Linked DNA regions of Lonchura striata. The protein of the gene in region 2 interacts with the protein of the main gene of each other region in a pairwise test. Links are inferred from orthologs where the notes say so. Each region holds a gene or a part of one and is shown on either strand. Other genes may lie near its edges. The genes, in order: AKAP10, PRKAR1A and AKAP19.

Evidence for each region.
Region 1: the proteins of PRKAR1A (region 2) and AKAP10 interact in a two-hybrid assay, tested with the Homo sapiens proteins (3 studies listed by BioGRID and IntAct). The link is inferred for Lonchura striata from reciprocal best matches to the Homo sapiens genes PRKAR1A and AKAP10.
Region 3: the proteins of PRKAR1A (region 2) and AKAP19 interact in binary tests that used the Homo sapiens proteins (3 or more experiments, as listed by UniProt). The two-hybrid records come from large-scale screens. The link is inferred for Lonchura striata from reciprocal best matches to the Homo sapiens genes PRKAR1A and AKAP19.

The regions. Positions count from the first base shown.
Region 1 is NC_134622.1:8,540,603-8,544,348, reverse strand, and holds the start of AKAP10 (A-kinase anchor protein 10, mitochondrial), read right to left. Parts: upstream 2,659-3,746; coding exon 2,496-2,658; intron 2,464-2,495; exon of another isoform or gene 1-2,463. UniProt on the Homo sapiens protein: Differentially targeted protein that binds to type I and II regulatory subunits of protein kinase A and anchors them to the mitochondria or the plasma membrane.
Region 2 is NC_134621.1:9,548,961-9,552,706, forward strand, and holds the start of PRKAR1A (cAMP-dependent protein kinase type I-alpha regulatory subunit), read left to right. Parts: upstream 1-1,243; 5' UTR 1,244-1,343; intron 1,344-2,258; 5' UTR 2,259-2,322; intron 2,323-3,746. UniProt on the Homo sapiens protein: Regulatory subunit of the cAMP-dependent protein kinases involved in cAMP signaling in cells.
Region 3 is NC_134610.1:30,738,286-30,742,031, reverse strand, and holds the start of AKAP19 (small membrane A-kinase anchor protein), read left to right. Parts: upstream 1-1,024; 5' UTR 1,025-1,091; intron 1,092-3,746.

The DNA.
Region 1 (3,746 bases), on a different chromosome or scaffold from region 2:
GCAAGGATTATTACTACAAATAGGTCATTCCTGAACACCCACTGAGGAGCCCTTCCTCAGTGCACAGCCCAGCACAATCCCACATTTACATCACAAAACACATCCAAAACACCACCCCAAGCGAAGCCTTCCTATCCCCACCTAAGGATGTTAAATATTTTACAGGAGAGCTCCGGTTACATAACTGCCCTGGCCCGGTGGCTGCAGCGCTGCCTGCCAGCCTCCCCGGCGAGCACAAACGCTGCAGGGCTGCAAATCTGCAACTCGGGGTCGAAAATTGCAGCTGCCAGGGAGCTCACTGTGTGACAGAGGGGTTGAAGTGTGCATTACAAGAGGAGGATTCCCTCCACGCTGACCTGCAGCCTGATGCAGCACGAGGGAAACCAGCCTTTACATAACTGGAGAGAAACCAGAGGGAAGCAAGCAACCTCTATGAACTCTCATCCTTCCCAAATCACTCCAGTATTTCATCAAACCGGTTCCTAGCTATCAGCAGCAAGTCCTGGGTTTCACACAACAGCCCTCCATAAGCCTATTTTCAGTTTAAATACCTCTGTTCCTTCTTTCCTCCCTAAATACCTACTTACTACTGGAAATACAAACTCCAGGGTCGTGTCCCAACCCTTTCCACACAGGCTGCTCCTGTCCCCAGCAGCTCTGAGCACGACCAGGTGCCATCAGTAACAGGAGGGGACAAAATCAGCTCTGATCCAGGACAAGCCCGAATTTCAGAGAGTGAAGTTGCACCACATGAACTCACTTTCACTTCCCCCAAAAAGCGGATGCTGTGCGGTGCCTGTGTGAAACCAGAAGGAACCACAGAATGGGGACTGAGGGAGAGATTTCCAGTGGCCAATCCCCTTCCAAAGGGTGCCAAAGCAGCACATGACATTCCAGAGTTGCAATTCACATCCTGAAATGCTCTCAACAAACTCAAAAAGTGTTCACAGTGTGTCAACAGCACACAGAAAACAACGAGATCCTGCTGAGGTCAGCCAGGCTGTGGGACTGCACGTTATTCCCAAGATATCCCAGGGATGAGCTGGTCCACTGGCAGCAGTTTCATAACTGCCCTCAAGCGCCCAGCTCACCTGTTATATTTTGATTTCTCAACCCATTATCCACCCTCAGTCTGCCAGACCTTTATTTTGAGGCCCAAGCTATAAAAACACTTCACCCTGATATTTGATTTTTCTACAAGCTTTATGATTCTTGCTATGGTTTAATTTAAAATTAGTCTTAATTTCTACCCACTGCAATATCCTCTTAAACAACCACAGCTCACCCCAGGAACATTGGTGTTTGTAGGATTTTGGCCTGCACGTGGCCAGAGTTTTATCCTAAGCCTAAATGTGCTGCTTCCCTCACAGCTTCAGTTCAAATCTTGTCTAAAAGCCACACCTAAAAACGGAATCACACCAAGCAGTGTTTTATGCACAGCCCAGATGAAAGGTTGCTTTTCTCCTCTCCTTCACAGCGTCTCTGCATTTAGTGCTGATTTGCCTTTCTGACCAAAGATCCTTTAATCAAAGGAATACAGATCCTCAATTACACTTCTCAGATAATCAGAGCTTTCATGGCTTTCTCCCTGAGAAGGTTTCCACACAAGCTGACCTTGTCCCTGTGATCCCGCGTCAGGAGGGAACCTCAGCTCCACAATTCTCAATGAAGCAGCAGGAGCTCTTTTTGAAGAGTTTATAACCACTATCAAAGTTTTATTCTGCAGCCCAGTATTTGTATATAAACACCCCAAAAAGGATTGCAAAGCCCTCAATGGCTTCTACTCTTCAGATCTGCTACGTTTAGACTCATTTCTCGCACAACTGCTGCACTAACCTCCCCAGAGTGACATTTTCAGTGCTGCTGCTTTGGCTGAGTGAGATCCAGAGGATGTGAGAGCCAAGAGCATCACCATCACCCCAGGTACCACGTCCTTGCCTCCCAGCATGTGCATTTTGGGTTCAGAAACACAGAAAGACTTTAGGACAGCGCTGCATCAGAAGATCAGTGCTCGAGCTACAGCACCACGAGGAAACAGAACTGTCCCAAGGGGCCCTTCCTAAAAGGTGCCACTTGCAACAAAAACCACCCAAACCACAGCTGGGCGGCTTGAGAGCTCTGGCCCTGCCTGCAGCACGGGCACAAAGCGCCTTCAAAACGCAGAGAACACTTAAACTGCTCCCATTCGTGCTGCTGGGGCGTTACAAATATTTCAGCAGCCCTGAATTTCCCAGCTCCTACTGCAGAACGAACTGCCGAGCACTCCTTGGGCTCAGCGCGACGAGGTCCCTTTTCCACCGACACCTTCAGCTCCTGCTGTACATTCTCAGCCCATTCTCACTGTCACAAAGCCGGCCGTGCCAGCCCTGTGCAAAACGCATCTGCAAAGGGCTCCGAGCGCGGGAGGTGCCACAGCCGCTGGCGGAGCCGCGGGCAGCCGGGGCCGCGGCCGCTCACCGGAGAGCCCCGAGCCCCCCGAGGACGCAGGCACTGACCGTCATCGGCGGGGAGGCCGCTCCTCAGGGCCCGCGCGTCCTCGCGGGGCCCGGTGGCGATGCCCGGCGGGGCAGGGCCGGGGCCCGGCGGCCGCGCAGGGGACGAGCCCGGCGGCCGCCCGCCCGCCGCCGCTGCCCTACCTTTCCGCCTGAAGAAGGACATAGCGCCGGGGAGGGGGGCGAGGCGGCGGCGGGGCGGGGGGAGGCGGGAGGGGGGGAAGGCAGCGCGCCGGGCCCTATGAATGAGGCAGCCGCGCCCGCCCGCCGCCGCCGCTCCCTCCGCCTCTTCCTCCCGCGGCGGCGCCCGCGGCCGCCATGTTGTCAACACCGGCCCCGCGCCCGCTTCCGGCAGCGCCGCCCGCGCGGCACGGCGGGATGCGGCCGCACTCAACATGGCGGCCCCGGCTTCACACCCACCGCACAACGGGGGCCGGGCGGGGCCGCCATGTTGGGTGAGGGCAAGAAGCCCGCTGGGGTCCAGGGCGGCGGGGCGGCCATCTTTGATCGGGGCGGGGGGCGCCGGGCGGCGTGAGGCGCCAGCCGCCATCTTGGCTGAGGGCACGGGTGACCCGGGGACGCTGCGGCAGCTCGGGCGCGGCCCGCGGGCAGGGACAGAGAGCCCGAGGACAAGGGACACAGAGCCCGAGGACAGGGACAGAGATCCCGAGGGCAGGGACAGAGCCCGAGGGCAAGGACAGAGAGCCCGAGGGCAAGGGACAGAGAGCCCGAGGGTAGAGGGACAGAGCCCGAGGGCAAGGACAGAGAGCCCGAGGGCAGGGACAGAGAGCCCGAGGGCAAGGGACAGAGCCCGAGGGCAAGGGACAGAGAGCCCGAGGGCAGGGACAGAGAGCCCGAGGGCAGGGACAGAGAGCCCGAGGGTAGAGGGACAGAGAGCCCGAGGGCAAGGACAGAGAGCCCGAGGGCAAGGGACAGAGAGCCCGAGGGCAAGGGACAGAGAGCCCGAGGGCAAGGGACAGAGAGCCCGAGGGCAGGGACAGAGCCCGAGGGCAAGGACAGAGAGTCCGAGGGCAGGGACAGAGAGTCTGAGGGCAGGGACAGAGAGCCCGAGGGCAAGGACAGAGAGCCCGAGGGCAGGGACAGAGAGCCCGAGGGCAAGGGATAGAGAGCCCGAGGGTAGAGGGACAGAGAGCCCGAGGGCAAGGGACAGAGAGCCCGAGGGTAGAGGGACAGAGAGCCCGAGGGCAAGGACAGAGAGCCCGAGGGCAGGGACAGAGAGCCCGAGGGCAAGGG
Region 2 (3,746 bases):
AGCTAATAAACAAGAAACCCCTCAGCAGGTAGTTCCTGATGGCTTGTGTGTCACTGCACAAACAGCACAAACTTCTTATACCATAATATACATTAAACTGTTGCTGTTGAGAGTAATTTTCACTGTACTTTACGTGATTGCTGGCTGAAATGATGTAACATTAGAGTAAAAAGTTATGTTCTGCGTTGCAAGACCAGCAAATGCACAGTTCAGGGCTCATTTTTAGGGATTATTTCTCCTTCCTAAACCCAGAGATGGGCTATGCCTGTGCCAGCACAGTCCAGATATAAAAATCATTTAAATGATTTCTTACAGCTTGGAAGAGACAAAGTGAATGGAGTCAAAGGGCTCATCTCAGCTATAAAGACACATGGAATAATTTGTACACGGATTTACATTGATTATAGTGAAATCTTTGCCAAACTTGAGTATCGTTTATTTCCCTCAACCTATAACAATCTCTGATCTTTGAAGCGGGTCCTTTCCAGGAGAGTCGGTGTGGAGTTGATGCCCTGGCGGATCCCACTGCCCTCAGGGGATCCCTCTCCTCCCGACCATTCCTGCTCCCCTCAGAGGATCCCTCTCAGGGTTTCCCACTCCTCTCTGCCATTCCTTTTCACCTCAGGGTATCCCTCTCCCCTCAGCCATTCCCTCTCCTCAGCCATTCCCGTTTCCCTCAGGATATCCCTCTCCTCTCAGCCATTCCCGCTCCCCTCAGGGTATCCCTCTCCCCTCAACCATTCCCGCTCCCCTCAGGGTATCCCTCTCCCCTCAGCCATTCCCTCTCCCCTCAGCCATTCCCTCTCCCCTCAGGGTATCCCTCTCCCCTCAGCCATTCCCGCTCCCCTCAGCCATTCCCGCTCCCCTCAGCCATTCCCTCTCTCCTCAGGGTATCCCTCTCCCCTCAGCCATTCCCTCTCCCCTCAGCCATTCCCGCTCCCCTCAGCCATTCCCTCTCCCCTCAGCCATTCCCGCTCCCCTCAGGGTATCCCTCTCCCCTCAGCCATTCCCTCTCCCCTCAGGGTATCCCTCCCCCCTCAGCCATTCCCGCTCCCCTCAGGGTATCCCGCGCCCCTCAGCGGACCCCACACCCCACCCCGTTCCCGCCAGCCCCGCGCCCTTAAAGCTGCAAAGCTCCTCCCGCGCCGCTCCCCGGCCTGTGCCCGCGCCGCGCCCGCCGTTGCCCCTTTAAGGTTACCGCGGCGACGGGCCCGGGCGAGAGCGAGGCGCATTGACGTCAGGGCGGGCGGGGCCCGTCCGGCCGGTCGGTTTCCGGTGCCGCCGCTGCAGCGAGGCCGCGGCCGGGCCGGGACGGGCGGGGGGTCCCGGCGGAGCCGCCGCAGGTGAGCGGGGCGGGGGCAGCGGCCGGGCGGCCCCGGGGCGGCGGCGGGGCCGGGGCGCTACGAGAGCCGGGCGGGACGGGCGCGGAGCGGGAGGCTGCGGCCTTGGGGCGGGGCCGGCCCGGCGCGGCGGAGGGAGCGGAGCCGGGGCCGCGGCTCTGCGGGTGCCGTGGGGGCAGCGGCGCCTTCTCGGGCCAGTGTCCGAGGGGCCCCCGCGGGCTGTGGGGCCGGGCCCCGCGGCGCTCCCGGGCCTTTGTGCCGGCTGTGCCCCGCGGCCCCGTCCCCGCCCCGGGGGTACCGGGTCGGTGCCTGCCGGGTCTGGAGCGGCCGCAGCCCCGCGCCGCGTGAGGGACGGGCTGGGCTGGGCTGGGAGGGGCAGCCACGCCTTGGGGAGCTCGGGGAAGCTTTGGGGACGTGCAGAAAGAACGGCTTGTAGGAATAAATCCCGGAGTTTTCATTTTGTCCGTGATGCTGCATTTCCTGCACCGCTCCTGCCCTCCTGGCGTGGCCGTGGCCGCTCACGGAGCCACCGGGCTCGGTTCATTAGCGCTGACCTTCACCGGGCGGGCTGGCCAAACAAAAGGAGTCGCTGGAGAACTTCTCGTGGCTTTCTCAGCCCGTGGGAAGGCCACGCTTTGTGTTTATGCAACGCACAGTACACGTGTGTGTGTGTGTGTCCTTGAGCAGGGATTAAGCGTGACAATCACGACACCTGCGTGAAGTGTTGGTAATTCCATATTAAATCCAAGCCTTCTGTAATCTCCAGCAGCAGAATTCAGAGGGGCACGTTGTTTTGTTGTCTCTGTGCCCTGGGTTTTCCTGCTGCTTCCTCCGCAGGATAAAACCCATGATGTGACTTCAGTGACTTGTCATTTCTCAAAATTCTTTTGACTGAATTCATTTTTTCCCTTTCAAAAGCTGATCCCGGGATCAACATATCTTACTGCATATAAATAAGCTGTTGCCACACTCCCTGTAGCAGGTAACTTTCTTTATATTTCATCCAAAAATGCCCTGAGAAATTCTTTCCTGTTTCTTTAACTCTCCCAGTGTCAATTTTCTTATGAAAAAAATGATGTGAAATGTGTGTCTATATACATGTACACGTAAAAAAATATATCTTAAAATGGTTTTATAACCCTGTGGTGGGCCAAGCCAGGCTAGATGCTAAGCACCCACCAAAACTGCTCCATCACTACCCTCTTCAACTCAACAACAGAAGGAAAATATAAGGACAGGCTCCTGGACTGAGATAAGGGAGAGATCACTTACCACTTGCCATTGTGGGCAAAACAGACTCTACTCAGGGAAATTGATAATAAATTAAACTAACTAAATTGTAGTAGGATAATGAGAAATAAAGCTAAATCGTACAAACATCTTCCTGGCCCTCTCCCTTCTCTCCAGCTTTAACTTTACTCCTGATGTTCTCTGCCTTGCCTCACCTCAGAGGATGAGAATTGCAGTCAGTTCCTTACATGTTGTCTCTGCTGCTCCATCCTGCACACCTTCCCCCTGGGAGACAGTCCTCCATGGACTTCTCCAGTGTGAGTCCTTCCTGCAGGCTACTCTCCAGCCTGGTTTCCCTTCCATGGTCACAACTCCTGCCAGAAAACCATCCCAGGATAGGATTCCTGTGGGATCACACTCTGCATTCCCCTGCTCCAGTGTGGGGTCCTCCAGGGGCTGCAGATGGATCTCTGCTCCCTCTTTGGGTCTCCAGGGGCTGTCAGTGGATCTCTGCTCCCCCATGGATCTCCAGGAGCTGTGGGTGGGTCTCTGCTCCCCCATGGATCTCCAGGGGCTGTCAGTGGATCTCTGCTCCCCCATGGATCTCCAGGGGCTGTGGGTGGGTCTCTGCTCCCCCGTGGATCTCCAGGGGCTGTGGGTGAATCTGCTCCCCTGTGGATCTCCAGGGCACAGCTGCCTCACCATGGTCTGTATCACGGGCTGCCAGGGAATCCATGCTCCAGGGCCTGCAGCACCTCCTGCACTGACCCTGGGGACTGCAGGGCTGTTTTTCCCATTTATTGCCACTCACCTGTCTGGCTGAAGTAGCCATTTCTCCTCCCTCCTTAAGTACCTTGTCCCAGAGGCTCTGCCACTGTCACTGATGGGCCCAGCCTCGACCAGTGGCAGTTTCATGTTGGAGCTGTCTGGCATTGGCTCTGTTGGACATGGAGGAAGCAGCCAGCAGCTTCTCACAGACCCCCCCCTGTACCCCGTGCTACCAAAATCTGGAAGTAGAAACCCAGTACAAACTTGAAAGGGGAGAAAAATCTGCTTAAGAATATATTTCAAAGTATCATAGCTGAAGTCTTTCGAAAACCTGGCATCATAACAGATGTTTAAAGCTGTACTCTTCATTATTTACAGTTGAAGAGGTATTTTTGGGATTGCAGTGTG
Region 3 (3,746 bases), on a different chromosome or scaffold from region 2:
GTTTGCACGTCTGCCTAGGCTTCATGCCTTAGTGCTGTTAGGTACTGATAAAAAAATTAAGTAAAAGAGGACTTGCATATAAATTAGGAATATTTCTGAAGCTGCTATACTGCCTTATTTAAAAAAAAAAAGTGAATTAGACTTGGTATTTATTATATCTATTTATATTTTCCAGCCCTGGTGCTGCTGTGGTGATTTAACACGTGGCTGCTGTGGGCACCACAGCAGGAGCCATCATGCAGAAAGGTTTTTTAGGGAAAACAACTCTAGTTCTTGCTATGGCCTCGAGATCAGCCAGTGTGGACAGGGGAGCAGGCTGCACTCCTCTGGCAGAGCAGCCCCAGTCGGGCTCACTGCAATCTCCCCCTGCTGGAAGAAATTCCCCTCTTCTCGAAAACTGTCACCTCAGTCAAAATTAATACTCAATTTCTTGTTTGCCTCTCAATTCCTTGGGTGTTTTTGCTCTGTGGTTACTCAGAGACACTGACCTCACTCCTTTTGGAGAGGCCCAGGGAGTCAGCGCCACTGTCCATTCCAGGACACAAAACCTGGAAAGCCCCAAGAGCAAAAATTTCATTTTAAAGATTTCTAAAATTGCCCAAATAGATTTCCATTAAAAATTTTCTAATAACTTCCGTATTAATTACACAAATTGAAACAAAAGCATCTAACAACTATTACATTCAGTTGGATAAACATTTGTGCTGTGTAGAAATTTGTAATTTATTTTACCCCCCTTCTTGATTATCTCAAAAGTTTCCCAGTCTAAATCATTCTGTGATTCTGGTTTCTTCGTTTTTACTTTGATGCTAAGTATAGGTTTTTCTATGGGAGAAAAATATACCCACATATTCCATCTCATTTTTTTTTGAGCAGAGTGCCTTTATAGTGTAACTTTGTCATAATTATCTTATTAGCACATTTTTAAGCATCTAGACAAATTCTGAGTAGATAATGTTGGGGTTTTTTCCCGGAAAATTTTGCAAATATGGTGACTTAAGCAGTTCTAAATATCTTTGCACAGGTGTTGCTGACTGGGTGAAGTGCAACTCAGCCCCTATAAAATGAAGTCCTGCAGGACACACTGAAGTGTAAGTATATGACTGAGCATGTTCTTCAAATTCTGCTGCTAAATTAGGTATTTTATCGTTAAAAAAACAACAACAACAACAACAAAAAACCCACCAAGTCCTTCCCCAAATGTCTCACTGTGATAATCACAAAGTGCTGGGGATTCTTTAATGGGTACAGAGTTCAGTGCACACACTGATTCTGTGTTTTCCTTTGCGTTACAGCAGTATATGCATATCCAGCTAACTCCAGAAGAAGTAAAACTAGTACAACATGTTAAACTTATTTTAAATATTCAGGATCTCTTCGTACAAGAAAGTGGAATTAGGCTTTGCATCTATATTCTACTGTATTCTAACTTCAGTGTAAAAGCTATCAAACCTTTTCCTGAGAGCAGGAGGATGGGATATTCCAAAAATAATCATGATCTAGAAATCAATGTTGTGCCCTAAGGTTTGGAGCAGCCGTGCAATCCCCACTCTCATGTACTTTTGGTAGTAACAGAGTTGAAAACTAGGGCAGCGCTGAGGAGCTTCCGTGGCATGTGCTTGGGAATCCTGCAATCATATTTGTCCTTAATTTTAATCAACCTAGTTGCAACCATCAAGGAAATATATTAAAAGAATAAAAGCTCTGAGAAAAGGCTTTGGTAAATCTCAGTTGTGCATTAGAATAGCAAGAGCAGATGAGGGTGGTGTATAATGAAAGAAGGATCAGGTAAAAGAAAGAAAAATCCATAGCTGAGAAAAGAACACCTTTCCCATGCACAAAGTTTTTGAAAATAGAACCTTTATTGAGACAGTGGTTCCTTAGTCTATAAAGCTGTGTTGAAGTGACCTTCTTTGCATCATGGGTTTGATTTTGAAACTCTACCAAAGTACTTACTAGAAGGTATTCACAGCATATCAGGTACAACTTCAAGGCTTTTGGATTATTAGGAGGTTTTGGTCAATAACAAAAATTTTCAGGGCTTTATAGTTCTTTAGACTTTATATTGATTCTTCCCAGACTGTGCAATATTTTCCATGTTTTCCAACCCATACAGTTATACATAGATTTGGTAAAGTCACCATGTGGCTGTGGGCATGCTGGGAGGAGCTCCTGGGGCAGAGTGCTTGTCATGGCTTCCCTTTAACTCTTCACCTGAATTAGAAATATGTGCCTCAGTGAAGCCCTTCCTAATTCCAGTGTCTGTTTGTATCACTAAAAAACTATTTGAGAAACAGAGCAAGTGTTTCAGCCACTGACCTCTGACTAGGGCTTGTGGTTGGATTTGGATAAATTCATGGAGTTTTGTAGCCCTTTTTTGAATGCCACATCAGTGGGTTGTCAGTGGATTCTCAAATGAACTTAAGCACTATTATGGAAAAAGGATTGTATTTTCTCTGCTTTCTGTTGGAAAGAATTTATTTATTCTGTTACCCTTGGACAAACTCATTAAAACTTTGCCATCTGGTGCAGAGGTTGTTAAGTGACAAATTGTAACCCAAAAGAAGTAGCTTAGCACAGCTGAACCATCCAGTCTGGGTACCATTCCAGTAGCTCCAATGCTAATACCATTCCCTGACTTCTGTGGTTCAGTTTGCACCAGTTTCCCTGTTGCAGGTGTATTGATGCTGCATCCACATCACTCTGGAGTGAACATGTGCACACAGAGCAGGGCATGCCAAGAATGTAGAGGGTTTGGGCTATATTACAGGAAGAACTAGCAAACTCCAATTAGCAAACTAATAAAAATTGCTAATAAAATAAATACCAAGTCTATGACAACAAAAACTTAAACTTACTTTAAAACAATTTCTTCTGGAGGAGAGAGTATCTTCCTTACCCCTACAGGAAAGTGCTTTCAGCCACTAAAATCTGGAGAAGGGTGCAAGAGAGCATTATCTGGCAAGTTGAGTTGCAGGAAAGGTTTTGATGCCTGTGCCCTCCCAAACCAGTCCATGCCCAGCAGGAGTTCCTGCACCCTGGCACAGTCAGGGACATTGAGGCCACATAGCCCCACTCCCTGGACAACTGCTGCACCTCTGAGGCCTCCGTGTTGGGGGCGGGGGCACCTCAGATTTGGGTATTGTGATTTTGAATATCACAGCACCCATGTCTGGCCCCAGCATTGCACACTGAAATGCTTTACAAGCTAAATATTTCATCAACTACCTAGCCTGTGCCTGGCTGTAGTAATTCAAATGGATTCTCTGCATTTAAAAACACTGACTGCTTTGCCTCAGCCCAGCATAATCAGCTGTCTTGCAAACTCCACAGCTAATAAAGTATTAAATCCATGTTGGCACCCAGAAATAAATATGGGCTCAAGATTCTCATCACATGTATCTCCCTCTCCTGAGCTCCCTGTCCCTGCCACATCACACTGAGGTGCTGCTGCTCAGGACAAGGTTTGTTGTTGGGTTGGTGGCACAGGAGATCAGCAGTGCTCCAGGACCAGACTATTATCTTTTGGGATGCAGTGATCCAGTCAGGCACCAGCTGTGCTTGCAGCTTGTGGAATGTCTGCCCCACGGCACCAAGTTGCTCAGTGGGAGCTGCATTCGTTTAAAAGCTGAAGATAAAAGTAGAAACTTGCATTAGAAACCAGGCTAGAATAATAAAGAGCACAGTAGCCATAAGCCTATACAAAGATATTTATAATTTAGTTACAAAATTCTTATTTAAAAATA